Linked DNA regions of Anolis sagrei. The protein of the gene in region 1 interacts with the protein of each later gene in a biochemical or structural test. Links are inferred from orthologs where the notes say so. Each region holds a gene or a part of one and is shown on either strand. Other genes may lie near its edges.

Region 1 (8,062 bases):
CCTCCAGGTATTTTGGACATCAACTCCGAGGAATTATGGGAGTTGAAGTCTAAAACACCTGGAAAGGCGAAGTTTGCCCATGCCTGTGCTAGACAGTGGCATCTACTGCTTCTCCATCTCAGAGACAGCCATGGTCTAGACCAGAGTGAGAAGGGAAAATAAAATATTTCAGAGATGAAGAGTAGGAACAAGTCTGGGGACTGGCCTTTGCTGAACTATGGGCCCTTTGTAGGTATATATAAACATGCCCACCTTCAGTGTCAAACCTGTAGCAGGATATCTCTATCCAGGGGTATATCTGCACTGTAGAATTAATGGAATTTAACACCACTTTAACTGCCATGGCTCAATGCTCCAGAATCATGGGAATTCTAGTTTGGTGGGACATCAGAACACTTTCATAGAATCATTGAGTTGGAAGAGACCTCATGGGCCATCCAGTCCAACCTCCTGCCAAGAAGCAGGAAAATTGCATTCAAAGCACCCCTAACAGATGGCCATCCAACCTCTGTTTAAAAGTAGGTGAACTATAAATCCCAGTAACTACAACTCCCATCTGAGCTCATATTTGGGCATATTGAGTATTCGTGCCAAGTTTGGTCCAGATCCATCATTGTTTGAGTCCACAGTTCTCTCTGGATGTAGGCAAACTACAACTCCCAAACTCAAGGTCAATGCCCACCAAACCCTTCCAGTGTTCTCTGTTGGTCATAGGAGTCCTGTGTGCCAAGTTTGGATCAATTCCATCATTGGGGGAGTTCAGAATGCTCTTTGATTATAGGTGAACTATAAATCCCAGCAACTACAACTCCCAAATGACAAAATCATAATTTTTGAGTGATGGTCACTCCTTGTGTTGTGAGACATTTTGGTGTGATTTTGTTCATTGGTTCTTTTGTTTTTAAGGTGCTCTTTCAGTTTCTGAAACAGGAACAACATGCACAGAGTTATGGTATGCCTTTTACAATAAGGATGTTGTTCCTGTGAACAAATCATGTTGCTTTGGTGGCTGTGATCAGACTAATGGAAAGCGTTACTGTTGATACAGAGCTGAGCTGACCCTGCCCTCAGAGCTCTTAGGAGGAAGAGCCGGACATAAATCAAATAAAGGAGAAGGAGGAGAGGGAGATGAGGTTCCTTGGATAATTCTTTCCAAATTTCAGGAAGACCTGTTTTTGCTAGTAGCCACCAGACAGTTCTGATCCCCAAGTTTGTCATGAAACAAAATACACACAAAGCAACATCTTTCATAAAAACAACTGATGATCTATATGGTGCAAAGAGGCTATTAGTCCTTGAACGCCACTGGATTTAGTTTCCCTCTTTCTTTTCTTCTCAAAAGACTCTACATGAGTTAGAGAACAGAATAGACATAAGAAATGATTGGGTATTTTCTATCTAACTTTTTTCCCCCTTTTGCCTTGTATATTTGCTATCTTCCTGGTGAACCTTTCTCAGGGAGAAAAATGGCAAAGATTAACATCCATCCTGCAAGGGCAAACATTTGAAAACCAAGCCGTGGGATGGAATGAGTAAACATTTCAGCAGGAGGAAAACTCTGGTCCATCCCCCCCTTCTCTTCATTTTATCCCGTATTTATTTTAACAAGGAAAACTGCATTCCAGCACTTGCCCTCTCCCCAATACACACACATCTTGAGGGCAAAGGCACACACACAACACGATTTTATAGTAGACTCTCACTTAACTGGAACTCAAGCAACTGACAAAAAAAACCCCCCGAATAAATAATACTTTATTTTTTAAAAAATACAGTAAAACAGCAGAACTGTTACATTATGTTTGTCCTTATATGTCTCAATTTGATTTTAATTACTGTATTTAAATATTAATATCACATCAATACAGAGGTATGGTGTGAGGTATAGTATTAGTTAGGTCTATATTAATTTGTGAGGTATAGTATTATTTAGGTCTATATTAATTTTTTGTTGTTTATTTGTTCAGTTCTTTGGGACCTCATGGACCTATTAAGTATATTATCTTATTATATTAATAATAACTATATTGGGTTGCTGTGAGTTTTCTGGGCTATATGGCCATGTTTGAGAAGCATTCTCTCCTGACGTTTTCCCCACATCTATGGCAAGCACCCTGAGAGGTTGTGAGGTCTGTTGGAAACTACGCAAGTGTGGTTTATATATCTGTGGTGGGAGAAAGAACTCTTGTCTGCTTGAGGCAAGTGTGAATGTTTTAATTGGCCAGCTTGATTATCATTGAATGGCCTTGCAGCTTCAAAGCCTGGCTGCTTCCTGCCAGGAGGAATCCTTTGTTGGGATGTGTTAGCTGGCTCTGATTGTTTCCTGTCTGAAATTCCTCTGTTTTCTGAGTGTTATTCTTTATTTAATGTTCTGATTTTAGAGGGTTTTTTAAAAATACTGGTAGCTAGACTTTGTTCGTTTTCATGGTTTCCTCCTTTCTGTTGAAATTGTCCACATGCTTGTGGATTTCAATTGCTTCTCTGTGTAGTCTGACATGCGGGTTGTTAGAGCGGTCCAGCATTCTGTGTTCTCAAATAATATGACTGCCAGTATTTTAAAAACTCTAAAATCAGGAAGGTAAATAAAGAACAACTCTAAGAAAACAGGGGAATTCCAGAAAGGAAGCAATCAGGGCCAGCTAACACCTCTCAACAAAGGATTCCCCCCAGACAGGAAGCAGCCAGGCTTTGAAGCTGCAAGGCTATTCGATGCTAATCAAGGTGGCTAATTGCAACATTCACACTTGCCTTCAACAGACAAGAGTTACTTTCTCCCACTCTGGACATTCCACAGATATATAAACCCCACTTGCCTAGTTTCCAAGAGACCCTACAACCTCTGAGGATGCCTACCATAGATGTGAAACATCCCTGTTATGTCAGCTCCACTGGCTGCCAATTTGCTTTTGAGCACAATTCAAAGTGCTGGCTTTAGCCTATAAATCCCTAAATGGTTCTGGTCCAGCTTACCTGTCCAAATGTATCTCCCTTTATGATCCAGTGCGCGGTTGACAGGGATGAGAGACAGGACCCTCTCGGTGGTGGCCCCTTGGTGGCCCCAGTGACATCAGAACAGCCCGCTCACCCTTAAGCTTCAGGGAAAATCTTAAGACCTGGCTATTTAAGCAAGCCTTTGAGAATTAATATGATCCATAAGTATGACGGAATCTGTATAAGAACGGCGAAAGCCATTGGTTTAATGTTTACGAAGTTCAGTTGGTGCTAGACTTTTGATATCTTTGATATGTTTTAATCATTTGAAAGACTATTTAATTGATATGTATATGCTTTTTACAGTTTTGTAATAGGTATTTTATTGTTGTGTTATTGTCTGAATCTGGCATTGAATTATTGCCATAGTTTGAGAAGGGTAGGGTAGAAGTACAGTAAATAAATAAATAAACAGACAAACAAATGGCAGGAGAAAATGCTTCTGGAACATGGCCATAAAGCCCAGACAACTCAAAGCAACCCAGTGATTCTGGCCATGAAAGCCTTCAACAACACAGTAACAATATTAATACATTATAGTCTATATTAATATTAACTTTATATTTATATGAACTATTATTATTATTATTATTAGTAGTAGTAGTAGTAGTAGTAGTAGTATTTCAAGCATTTATATCCTGCCCTTCCCACTCCGAAGAGGGACTCAGGGTGGCTTACAATAGGTAAGCGTTAGATGTCAGACAATACATTAAAATACACAGTTACAATTAAAACAGAAATTAAAACAATTATAAACATTCAATTTAAAACAGTCCACCGGTTCAAAATCATAGTCCAGGTCAGTCCATTGTCCATTAAAACATTGTCTTCCCAGTTGCTACATCTCTTGCTCAAATGCTTGATCCCACAGCCAGGTTTTAAGTTTATGATGAAAGGCCAGGAGAGAGAATGCAGACCTAATTTCATTGGGGAGGGAGTTCCACAGCCGAGGAACCACCATGGAGAAGGCCCTGTCTCTCATTACCACCAGTCGCGACTGCAAAGGAGGTGGGACCGAGAGCAGGGCCTCCCCAGATTATCTAAACATCCTTGATGGTTCCTAAAGGGATGCCAGCCACATGACCTTGGAGGTGTCTATGGACAACATTGGCTCTTTGGTTTAGAAATGGAGATAAGCACCAACCCCCAGAGTTGGACAGGACTGGACTTAATGTCAGGGGAAAACCCTTACCTTTACCTATATTAATATGAACTATATATTATTTTCTAACTGGAGGTCAGCTGTGACCAGCGGTGCTGCAGAATCCGAAGAGGCACAAATGAAGGGTGAAATGGAGAAACATGCCAAGAGGAAGGCACATCAAGCCAACCCTGACTGGGACCACCTTCCATCTGGAAACCGATGTCCTCATTGGGAGAGAACATGCAGATCAAGAATAGGGCTCCACAGCCACCTACAGACCCACCACCAAGACACTACATGTGGAAGACCATCATCCTCGAGCTATGAGGAATCGCCTAAGTATATATTATTTATATATAATATATTAAAGGCTATATGAATAGTAACTCTCAAGCAACCAGAAATGTCATTTATCTGCCATTTACTAATCCCCATGATGTTGGCCAACTGAGAGTCTGTTGTACTTCCCAAGAGGAACTGAGACTACAAGTGAACTTCATGCTTCAGATGAAAGCAAGATTTGTAGCATCAGATGAATGATGCTTTTAAGTGAAGGTAGAAGAGAGAGAGAAAGGGGAGACTATGGGGAGGGAGAGGGGAAAGTGGGGTGGGGTGGGGGGAAGGAGTGTTGTAGCCACTTTGTCAATTTCATGCTTGGGGTCTGCTCCAGGGACCTTCAGAGAGAGAGAGAGAGAGAGAGAGAGAGAAAGGGAGCGAGGCTGCTTGATGCTTGTTTACCCAGGAGGGCTGCTCTGAGCGTCAGTTCCTTGGGTTTACTTTGCTTTTCCTTGAGTTTATTGTACCAAAAAAAGGGGGGGGGGAGTGAAAAAAAAGGTTTTTCGGATCCATCACGTGATCCTGACAGGTCCTGCCTATTGAGAAAGCCAGACCACCCACATGGAGAGGACGATGGAGCTCTTAATAGAAACAGGCACGCAATTGTGCGCACTCCGCCGAACGCTTGCCATGGAGGAGGATTCCTGTTGATGCGGATGGTTATTATTATTACTATTATTATTCTCGTTATTTGGAAGCGGGGGAGCCTTCCAAAGCTTTGGGAAAGGGAGAAGCGGACGGGCAAGAGAGGAAAGAGGGAGTTTGCATTTCGGAGCAGGGAAGTCTCCCAGGAAAGGCACTTGGATGTCCTCCTCTCCTTCTCTTCCTCCAAGTTGGCTTCTGCCTCGGCGGCACCACGGCGGCGGGGAATGAAGGCGACCAGCCGGACCCAGAGGCCACTCCACCCCTTCCAGGGGCTCCAAGGGGAGAGGGTGAGTCCGGGAAAGCGCCATCGGGAAAGCGGGGCCGGGGAATGAGAGAGAAGGGAGGGAGGGAAGGAAGGACGGAAAGAGGGAGGGAGGGAGGGAAGGAGATCCGCGGGTGGATGCGCCTGGCAGATGGCAAATCCCTTTGGGCGAGCTGGCACAGGGAGGGTGTTTGTGTGTGTGTGTTGTGAGTGGGAGAGAAGGCTGACGGGGAGGGATGGAACAAGAGGAAGGAAGGAAGGAAGGAAGGAAGGAAGGAAGGAAGGAAGGAAGGAAGGAAGGAAGGAAGGAAGGAAAGAAATCCAGGGAAATCCAGTTGAAGGAGAGAGAGAGAGAGAGAGGATAGGAAGGAGAGAGGAGGGCTGGCCTCACTGCTGTCATTACACGCAAAGAACCAGCCAATGGAGAACATGCATGGGCCAACTTGGGTCCTCCAGATGTTTTGGATTTCAACTCCCACCATCTCCAACAGCCTCAGGCCCTTTCCTTTTCCCCCTCAGCCACTTAAGGGAGAAAAGGAAGGGGCTTGAGGCTGTTAGGGATGGTGGGAGTTGAAGCCCAAAACACCTGGAGGACCCAAGTTGGCCAATGCCTGGTGTAGAAGATGCATCCCATCTCTCCCTCATTACGGCTGGTGGGAGGGCCTGAGGCTGTTAGGGATGGTGGGAGTTGAAGTCCAACACACCTGGAGGACCCAAGTTGGCCAATGCCTGGTGTAGAAGATGCATCCCATCTCTCCCTCATTACGGCTGGAGGGAGGGCCTGAGGCTGTTAGGGATGGTGGGAGTTGAAGTCCAACACACCTGGAGGGCCCAAGATGGCTCATGCCAGGTGTAGAAGATGCATCCCTTCTCCCCCTCTCTTCTTTGACCTCATGGCAGCTGGAGGGAAAGGAAAGGGCCTGAGGCTGTGAGGGATGGTGGGAGTTGAAGTCCAAAACACCTGGAGGACCCAAGTTGGCCCATGCCTGGTGTAGAAGATGCACCCCATCTCTCCCCCTCCTCTCTGACCTCATGACGGCTGGTGGGAGGGCCTGAGGCTGTTAGGGATGGTGGGAGTTGAAGTCCAACACACCTGGAGGACCCAAGTTGGCTCATGCCTGGTGTAAAAGATGCATCCCTTCTCTCCCTCTCTTCTTTGACCTCATGACGGCTGGTGGGATGGATCAAGAGGTCTCTTGGATCCCAATTGGATTCTTGGAAGGGCACCCCACACCATAATGTCTGTATGTCTGCCTGGCAGGGGCTTCACTGAAATCGATATGGGAAGTGTTCCTTTCACAACATGTCCATCTTAAATCTTTGAGGTCCCAGGTATAAGTACTATGGCTTTAGACCACAGATATATATTTGTTTGCACTGCTTTAGTAAACCTCTGGCCTAAAGACATAGTACATATAATATGTGGTCAGATGACACCTGGAATCACACTGTGTCCAATTCTGGGCACCACAATTGAAGGGAGATGTTGACAGGCTGGAATGTTTCCAGAGGAGGGCAGCTCAAATGATCAAGGGTCTGGAGAACAAGCCCTAGGCATGTATAGCCTGCAGAAGAGAAGGCTGAGAGGAGGCATTATGGCCATATATAAACATGTGAGAGGAAGTCATGGGGAAGAGGGAGCAAGCTTGTTTTATGTTGCCCTGGAGACTAGGATGCAGAACAATAGCTTCAAACAACAGGAAAAGAGATTCCACCTGAACATGAGGAAGAACTTCCTGACTGTGAGAGCTATTCAGCAGTGGGACTCTCCGCCCTGGAGTGTTGTGGAGGCTCCTTCTTTGGAGGTTTTTAAACAGAGGCTGGATGACCATCTGTCAGGCGTGCTTTGAATGCTATTTTCTTGCTTCTTGGCAGGGGGTTGGACTGGATGGCCCACAAGGTCTCTTCCAACTCTATGATTTTGTGATTCTATGTCCATCTCTTTCTTCCTGGCTACATGTTCCAGTAAGGAAATGTGAGTGCAAGCATCAAGGGGACTTTTTCTGGAGGTTGCATTTACACTGTGTGATTGAATGCCAATTGACATCTCTTGAACTGCCCTGTGCTGGAAGTTGTCATTTCATAAGCTTGCGTGCCTTCTCTGCCCAAGAGTGCTAGGGCCTCATCAAACTGTAACTTGCCTATTTATCATGTCAGAAGTGAACCAAGGGTACAGTCATAATGTATTTAAAAACACCAAGTTTAAAAACTTGGCATTATACTAAATGTCCTTTGACCAGTAACTGGCCACTTAGAGTATCTCTGGTGTTGTATATGCGACTTGCAGCTTGCCTGATTTCCATAGTCTTGAGCCATGGTAGTTCAAGTGGTGTTAAACTGTATTCATTCTGCAATGTAGATGGACCTTATGACTTGAAACAAGCAACTTGTTGAAGGTTGAGTTGCTTTAGGAAAAGGCAATTGGGTGACTCTTTGGGGGCATCTCTTTGCCAGAAATCAGCCTTGGCTTCCATTGACACTCTCTGGCTTCCATGGCTCTGCAAAAGAGGTACAAACAGCTGCTTAAGTCTTGTTAGCCCTGACTAAAGTAGGCTCATTGAATTAATGGATTTTACCTATGTGCTAGGGCCATGGTGGTGCAATGGGTTAAACCGGTGAGCGGCGGAACTTGCTGACTGAAAGGTTGGTGGTTAAAATCCATGGTGCAGGGTGAACTCCCGCTA
Region 2 (7,946 bases), on another chromosome or scaffold:
ATACAGCCCAGGACACCTTTTAAAGGGATGCCAAAGACTGCTTCTGCAAAATGGCATTGCTCTACCTTCCTTGGAAATAGGATTGGGACAGGGCCTCATTGAGCAGCATGAAGCAAAGGCCTCAAGGAGCAAGGTTGGGGTTGGCTAACATAAAAAGGCAGAATATGCTGCTTTTGGAGGTATTTTGGAGTTTGTTTTTGGAACTTCTAGAGGGGTTGGCCAGGCCTCTTTTGGGAGTGGAGTGGAAGAAAGAAAAGGAGAGGAAATGTCCCCTCTGAAGAGAGAAAGAGCATTGGACAGCCTAAGCTTGGCATGGGCAAACTTGGATCCTCCAGTTGTTTTGGACTTCAACACCCACAAATCCTAACAGCCTCAGGCCCTTTCCTTTTCCTTAAGTGGCTGAGGGGGACAAGGAAGGGGCCTGAGGCTGGGTTGCTGTGAGTTTTCCAGGCTGTCTGCCCATATTCCAGAAGCATTCTCCCCTGACCTTAGCCCACATCTATGGTAGTAATCCTCAGAGGTTTTCAGGTTTGTTGGAAACTAGGCAAGTGGGTTTTATATACCTGAGGAATAATGTCCAGGGTGGGAGAAAGAACTCTTGCCTGTTTGAGGCAAGTGTTAATGCTGCAATTGATCACCACGAGGAGCATTGCAGCTTCAAGGCTTGGCTGCTTCCTGGCTAGGGTAATCCTTTGTTGGGAGGTAGCCCTGAGTCTGTGAGGAATGGTGGGAGTTGAAGTCCAAAACATCTGGAGGGAGGGCCCAAGTTTGCCCATGCCTGGCCTAACCTGATGGGCTATAAATATACTTTCCCTACTTGAATTACATTTCATAGAATCATAGAGTTAGAAGAGACCTCATGGGCCATCCAGTCCAACCCCCTGCCAAGAAGCAGGAAAAATGCATTTAAAGCACCCCAACAGATGGCCATCCAGCCTCTGTTTAAAAGCCTCCAAAGAAGGAGCCTCCACCACACTCTGGGGCAGAGAGTTCCACTGCTGAACGGCTCTCACAGTCAGGAAGTTCTTTCTAATGTTCAGATGGAATCTCCTTTCTTGTAGTTTGAAAACATTGTTCCTTGTCCTAGTCTCCAGGGCAGCAGAAAACAAGCTTGCTTCCTCCTCCCTATGACTTCATCTCACATGGCTACTATCATGTCTCCTCTCAGCCTTCTCTTCTTCAAGCTAAACATGTCCAGCTCTTTAAGCCACTCCTCATAGGACTTGTTCTCCAGACCCTTGATCATTTTAGTCACTCTCCTCTAGACACATTGCAGCTTGTCAATATCTCTCTTCAGTTGTGGTGCCCAGAATTGGACACAATATTCCAGGTGTGGTCTAACCAAGGCAGAATAGAAGGGTTGCATGACTTCCCTAGATCTAGACACTAGACTCCTATTGATGCAGGCCAAAATCCCATTGGCTTTTTTTGCATCACATAGTTGGCTCATGTTTAACTTGTTGTCCACGAGGACTCCAAGATCTTTTTCACACGAGGTAGTATAAGAAGGGAGCTCTAAAGGATTTGAGATCTCCAGAGCTTTTTAAAAAACCATTGAAGTCCTCCCATTGGCCATTCTGTCTGGAGAATTCGGAGCTGAACTTCTGAAAGTGTGGCTTCTCTCCGGCCTCCTTTGGGAAGCAGGGTTGGCTCCCCACTTCCTCCCTTCGCTCCCTCTCTTCCTCGCCTCCCACTTGTCTTATTCCTCGCGTGTAGTTATTGATCTTTCCTCGGTCACTTCCTCCCCTCTTGCTAAGCTCTGGTTTGTACATCTGGGAGGCTTGAGATCCACGGAAGGCACAGGAGATTTGGCTCCTGAAGACCGTGCCGACTAGGGCGCATTGCCTGCCCCCCTTTTCCTTCCCAAAGAGAAGGATCCGAAGCCCGTTTCCCTCGTGGAGAGGAGTGGGTGCGTGGAGAGGGGGCTGAGCCCGAAGCCTGCCTTGGTTCACCCTCCTAGCTTCATGGGAAGGAAACTTTTTCTCGCGCAAAGTTTCTGCGGCTTCTTCTCCCCTAGATACTTTTTTGAGTTTGGAGACATGACTTGGAGGTCCCAGAATCCACAGTCTCGTCAACTTTCGGGTCGGGTGGATTCTGGGAGCGGTGGTGCAAAATCAAACCAACTAAGACGCAACTTGTCCGAGTTCGGAAAAGTTTGGAAAAGTTTGGAAAAGTTTTCACGGGACGCCTCGAAACTTTCCAAACTTTCCTTCCCACAGATCCCTCAAATAGACACCAAAGACGGCAGAGTTGGGAGCAGAGGGTCGGTAGAAAATACTAATGAGGCATTCAAAGTTAACTTTTTGAAGAGGGTCGACTTTTTTTAAAAGTCGGATTCACCCACTCTTGGATAGGAATCCCGAGTTCGCTCCCTCGCCTCTCAACGAGTTAGGAAACGAGCCGAGGCGTTATTCTGTCTTCGTTTCCCGGAGAGTAAATGCATTTATTTCTATGGACGACTTTCCCAAGTAAGGTGGGAGTTTCACGCAGGGACAGCCTCATTTCCAAGAAATCAACAGGTGGAAAGATCTCCAAACGAGAGCTCCAAGCCCTCAGAATGATCAAACGTGGTCTCCTTTTGACTTCTAGGAAAGTTTCTGGGAGGCTTGAGATGTCTTGAACGTGAAGAATATCTAAGTGCAATTGTTCAAAAATAAATATCCCATCCATCTCAGTATGTGGAAAAGTAGGTCCATCCCAATAAGTAGTATATATGGGGGAAATGGTATTTCTCAATCCACCCCAACCTATGTGGAAAGACAGGATTTATCTCTCAATCTACACCAGTAAGTAGAAAGAAGTAGGGTTATTTTTTATTATTATTTCAAACCCAGCTCCCAATATTGATCCACTCCAAGTCCTTGAGTCAGTGACCTGCTGTTGCGGAGTTGTTGGAAGGAACTCTGCCTTTCCCCCCACATGGAGAGAGGTGCCTTCCCTCCTGGAAAGAAGACCAACTCCGCTGCTTTTCGGGCTGGAGTTGCGGGCTCCCATCTCCGGCGAGGCTGCGTGGATCTGGGCGAGCGCCTTTGTCTGTCCCGAGTCTGCTGCATCTCCAGCCAGAGAGCCACTCATGCCGCATTTCCCTCCGCGCCACTCACTTGAGGTCTGCCTCTGACGTGTGAAGAGGCTTTCCGCGCCAGGGAGAAGGAAGGAAAGGGAAGGGGAAGGGAGGAGGAAAGAGGGGAGGAAAGAGGGAAGGAAGGGAAGGGAAGGGAAGGAGGGAGGGAAAGGAGAAGGAGAAAAAGGAGAAGGAAGGAAGGGGAAGGGGAAGGTAGGAGGAACGAGGGAAGGGAAAGGGAGGGAGGGAAGGAGAAGGAAGGAAAATTAAGGGAAGGAAGGGAAGGAAAGGAGGGAGAAGGAAGGGAAAGAAGGAAGAAGAGAGGGAAGTGAAGGGAGGGAGGGAGGGAAAGAGAAGGAAGGAAAGAAGGAAGGAAGGAAAGAGAAAGGAAGGAGGAGGAGGAAGGGAAAGAAGGAAGAAGAGAGGGAAGTGAAGGAAGAAAGAAAGGGAGGGAGGGAAGGAGAAGGAAGGAAAATTAAGGGAAGAAAAGGAGGAAGAAGGAAGGGAAAGAAGGAAGGAAAGAAGAAAGGGAAAGGAAGAAGAGAAGGAAGGGAAGGAAGGGAAGGAAGGGAGGGAGGAGGAGGAGGAAGGGAAGGAAAGAAGGGGAAGGAACAAAAGGAAGAGAAGGAAGGAATGAGAAGGATGGAGAAGGAAAGTAAGGGAAGGGAAGTAGAAAGCCCTGGGAAGCCTTACCTGGGGCTCCGATCAATACCCTCAGAATGGGGAGCAAGCCTCCTCTTGCCTCGCAGCTCAGCCCCATTTTCCTCCAAGGTCTCCTTTGGGGCGCCAGGACTCCTCGAGATGTTTAATTGCTCCTTCCATAAAATATTGTGTGTGAGCATGGCTGCCCACACTCACATTCGCATTCTATATTGCACCCTACAGGTGGTGAAGCCCAATTATAGTCGTAAGTACCGTAAGACCCATTGTAATCAATAGGGCGGACAAACGAGTTGACTCAGAGACCTCTATTTTTTCCATTCCTAATATGTAGGTAGGTACCTCACATGTACCTGTGTACACTTCTCCAACAGGGATTCTCATAGATAGATAGATGTGTGCCTTCAAGACACCTGTTGACTTATGTTGACCCCATAGGGCTTTTTGGGTCGTTCCTTCCTCTGAAATGCATCCCACAGCCCCTGATATTCCCTGGTGGGAAGTACTGACCCTGACTCGTTTCCAAAATCAGGTGGGATCTGGTGCCTTTGGGGCATTTAGGTCAGGAAAGAGAGGGGGGTGTAGACAGAAGGACCTTAAGGCAACCTATTGGGAGCTTTTGCTGGTTCAGAAAGACTTTTGCCCTGGCCATCCTCTGATGTGGGGAGAGCCTGGTCTCCAGAGTCCACGCGGCTCAGGTGCAGATATATCCGTGTATCCTTCCCTATATGACACACAGGGAGGGATAGGCAGGCAGACACACCAAATCAAGAGAGACGTTTCTGTCCTAATCCCCAAACTCGCTGTCAGGTGCCTGGCTGAGCGGCTGGCTCCCCTTCCACGCCTTCCTCCTCCTCCTCCTCCTCCCGACCAGCATCTGCTCCTCTTGCCCTAGAAAAAAGAGAAAAGTTTCCGAGTGGATGGAGGGCCGAGAGGGAGGCAGGAAGGAAAGCAAGCAAGAGCAGCCTGGTTGGGGGGCGCCTCTTGTTGCGGGTGCGCCTCTCCTTCTCCTTCTTCCTCATCATCCTCACCTTCTTGTTGTGGTTGTTGTGTTGTTGTTGTTGTTGGCCTCCTCGAGGGTTAACGCCTCCCTCCGCCGGCGCGCTCCTCCCGCCTCGTCCAATCAGCGCGCAGCCCTGGCAGCTATAATATCCCAACTAAAGGCAGGCTCCTTCGCAGCACACAGCGCAGCGCCCGGGCGGCGGAGCTCCCACTAGAGACCCACGAGCGAGAAAAGGAGAGAGACAGAGAGAGAGAAGGAGGGAGAGCAGAGAGAAAGAGAGAGCAGCTCCCCGCCTTCCTTCCTTCCTTCCTTCCTTCCTTCCTTCCTTCCTTCCTTCCTTCCTTCCTTTTCCTTCCTTCCTTCCCTCCCCACCCGAGACGCGTGGCTCCCCTGGCCTTCCCTCTCTTCCTCCTCCTCCTCCTCCTCTTCCCCGCCCCACGGCCGGCCTTTCTCTGGGGCGTCCCGTCCACTCCCGCACCTGCCACGCAAAGGATCGGACGCGGAGGAAGAAGGAGCGCAGAGAGAGAGACAGAGAGACAGAGAGAGAGGCATCGCACCATCGCAGAGGCGCAGAGCGATCCCCGAGCCTCCGGGAGTTGCTTCTCGGGGGGAGGCGGAGGCTTGCAGCCGGCTCCCCCCTCCTGCTCCCTCCTCGCCTCCTTCCTCGCCTCCTTCCTCCTCCTCCTCTCCTCCTCCTCCTTCCCGGGCCGGGATGCGTCTGCCGGGGGGCGCGGGTCTGGCGTGGGGGGCGCCTGCGCTCCTCCTCCTGCTCCTCTGCCCCTCGGGCCTGGCCTGCGGCCCTGGAAGGGGCTTCGGGAAGCGGCGGCACCCCAAGAAGCTCACGCCCTTGGCCTACAAGCAGTTCATCCCCAACGTGGCCGAGAAGACGCTGGGCGCCTCCGGGCGCTACGAGGGCAAGATCAGCCGCAGCTCGGAGCGCTTCAAGGAGCTCACCCCCAACTACAACCCGGACATCATCTTCAAGGATGAGGAGAACACCGGCGCGGACCGGCTCATGACCCAGGTCAGTGGGGTTCCCCCTCTCTCCCCCCTGCAGACCCCCACCTTGCTTCCCTCTCGCCTTTCCCCTTTCAGGTGTTCAGCTGGAGATAGTCGAGGTGTGTTTTGCCCCCCTCTCTCTTGCTAGGGACCTGACTCATTCAGAGAGAGGGTTTGCCCCCCATTCAGACCTTCCTCCACGCCCGGGGCGGGTCTTGGCTTGCCTTTCTAGCTCGCCTTTCCACCTGCGGCAGGTCGAATTGGTCCTTGGCCCTCTCAGGCTGGCCCAGGCCAGCCAGTGTGTGTGTGTCCCCAACTCAGACCTTCATTTAGGGCCCCCTTTCTCGCTTGTGAGAGTGTGTGTGTGTATGTGTGTCCAACTCAGCCTTCATTTAGGGCGACCCTTTCCCGCTTGAATCCCCATAGCCTCCCCCTTCCTTTCCGAGGTGCTTCTTGGCCCTCTCTGGCTCGCCTCTCCCCACCTGCTGACCTAAGCCAGCCAGAGAGAGAAAGAGGTATTCCCACCCATTAGGGGCCCTTTTTTCGCTTGACTTCCCCACTCGAGCACCCCCACAGCCTCCCCCTTCTTTTCCGAGGTGTTCCTTGGCCCTCTCTGGCTCGCCTTCCCTCAGCTGCTGATCCAGGGCACTCAGAGAGAGAGAGGGGGGAACCCTCTCCCCATTCAGACCTTCATTTAGGACCCCTTTTCTTGCTTGACTTCCCCACTCGAGCATCCCCACAACCTCCCCTTTCTTTCCGAGGTGTTCCTTGGCCCTCTCTGGCTTGCCTTCCCCTAGCTGCTGACCCAGGACAGTCAAGAGAGCAAAAGAGAGGGTTTTCCTCAATTCAGACCTTCATTTAGGGTCACTTTTATCCCTTGATTTTTCCACTCGGACATCCCCACACCTCCTCCTTTTCCGAGGTGCTCCTTGGCTCCCTCTGGCTCGCCTCTCCCCACCTGCTGACCCAGGCCAGTCAGAGAGAGGAAGAGGTATTCAGACCTTCATTTAGGGGGCCTTTTATTGCTTGCCTTCCCTACTCGAACACCCCCACAGCCTCCCCCTGGGGAGAGGGCTCTTTGGCCCTCTCCCCAGCTGATAGCCCAGGCCAGTCAGAATGGGTTTCCCCATTCAGGTGGATCTTGCTCCCCACTAAGTTTGCAAGAGGAAGAATAAGAGCTGCAAGGAGAAGAGGAGGAGGAGGAAGGGCGGAAGGCTTCCCACCTGCGTGCCTGCCGTGCCTGCCTTTCCCTGGGATGGAGGAGGAGGGGGAGGCGCAAAGACTCGCGTGGCGGGCGTGGGGTGACACTCGCGCCACGCCGATGCCCTTCCCTGCCACTTGGTTGGTCGGTGGGTTGGTTAGCCGGTTCTGACTGCTTCTCTCCCCCCCCCCCCCACCGCTCTCCCTATTCCTCCTCTTTCCCAGGATCCGAGGGGAGCCCACGCCACGAGAGAGAGAGAGAGAGAGAGAGAGAGATCCCTTCCTCTCTCTCTCCTTCCTCCCCTCCCTTCCTGCACCTTGCGCTTCCTGGCCAGCCTCCCTTGAGGTCCAGAGGCCCAGAAGGAGAAGGGGATGGAGAAGGAGAAGGTGGGGGCTCTCTTGCAACCCACGCCCTCCTCCCCTTCTCTCCTTTTCCTCGCCATCCCCTCGTGGGCCACTGCGCCCAGATGAGCATTCAGAGATCGATTTCCCTTTAAGGATGCTCCCCCATTAGACCTGCTTTCCCACCAAAGGCCGGGGGGGGGGGAGAGGAGAGGGGGAGGGAGGGACGAGTAACTTAACCAGCATTGCATCACTTCAATGGAGGAAGGAGGGAGAGAGAAAGAAAGAGAAGAGCTCAGACTGAGGACTCTCTCTCTTTCTCTGTGTCTCTCTATGAATGAATCCTCCAAGGATCCAAGGCTTCAGACCCAAGGCTAAAAATAGGAAGTGGGTTTAAGGGGTCCATCCTTCTCTTCCTCTTGATGCGGAAGCTTGGGCTCTTCCATCCCTCTTCCGCCTTCTTCCTCCTCCTCTTCTCCTCTCAGTTCCGGAGTTCCTCCAAACTACCTGCCGCCCAGCTTGGCATCCTTCCTTCTTTCCTTCCAAATATAGGTCAACAGTCTTTCTGCCTCCTTCCTTCCCTCCCTCCTTCCGCTATTCATATGTTTAAGCCCCACCTTCGGGTCTCTCCTGGAGACTGAGGAGGCCGAGTGGGGATCGTGGAAGGGGACACAGAGACGG

Evidence for each region.
Region 2: the proteins of PTCH1 (region 1) and SHH are reported together in a solved structure, tested with the Homo sapiens proteins (5 studies listed by BioGRID and IntAct, with this or other methods). The link is inferred for Anolis sagrei from reciprocal best matches to the Homo sapiens genes PTCH1 and SHH.

The regions. Positions count from the first base shown.
Region 1 is NC_090022.1:230,895,420-230,903,481, reverse strand, and holds the start of PTCH1 (protein patched homolog 1), read left to right. Parts: upstream 1-5,006; 5' UTR 5,007-5,121; coding exon 5,122-5,403; intron 5,404-8,062.
Region 2 is NC_090026.1:119,821,343-119,829,288, forward strand, and holds the start of SHH (sonic hedgehog protein), read left to right. Parts: upstream 1-4,870; 5' UTR 4,871-5,436; coding exon 5,437-5,748; intron 5,749-7,946.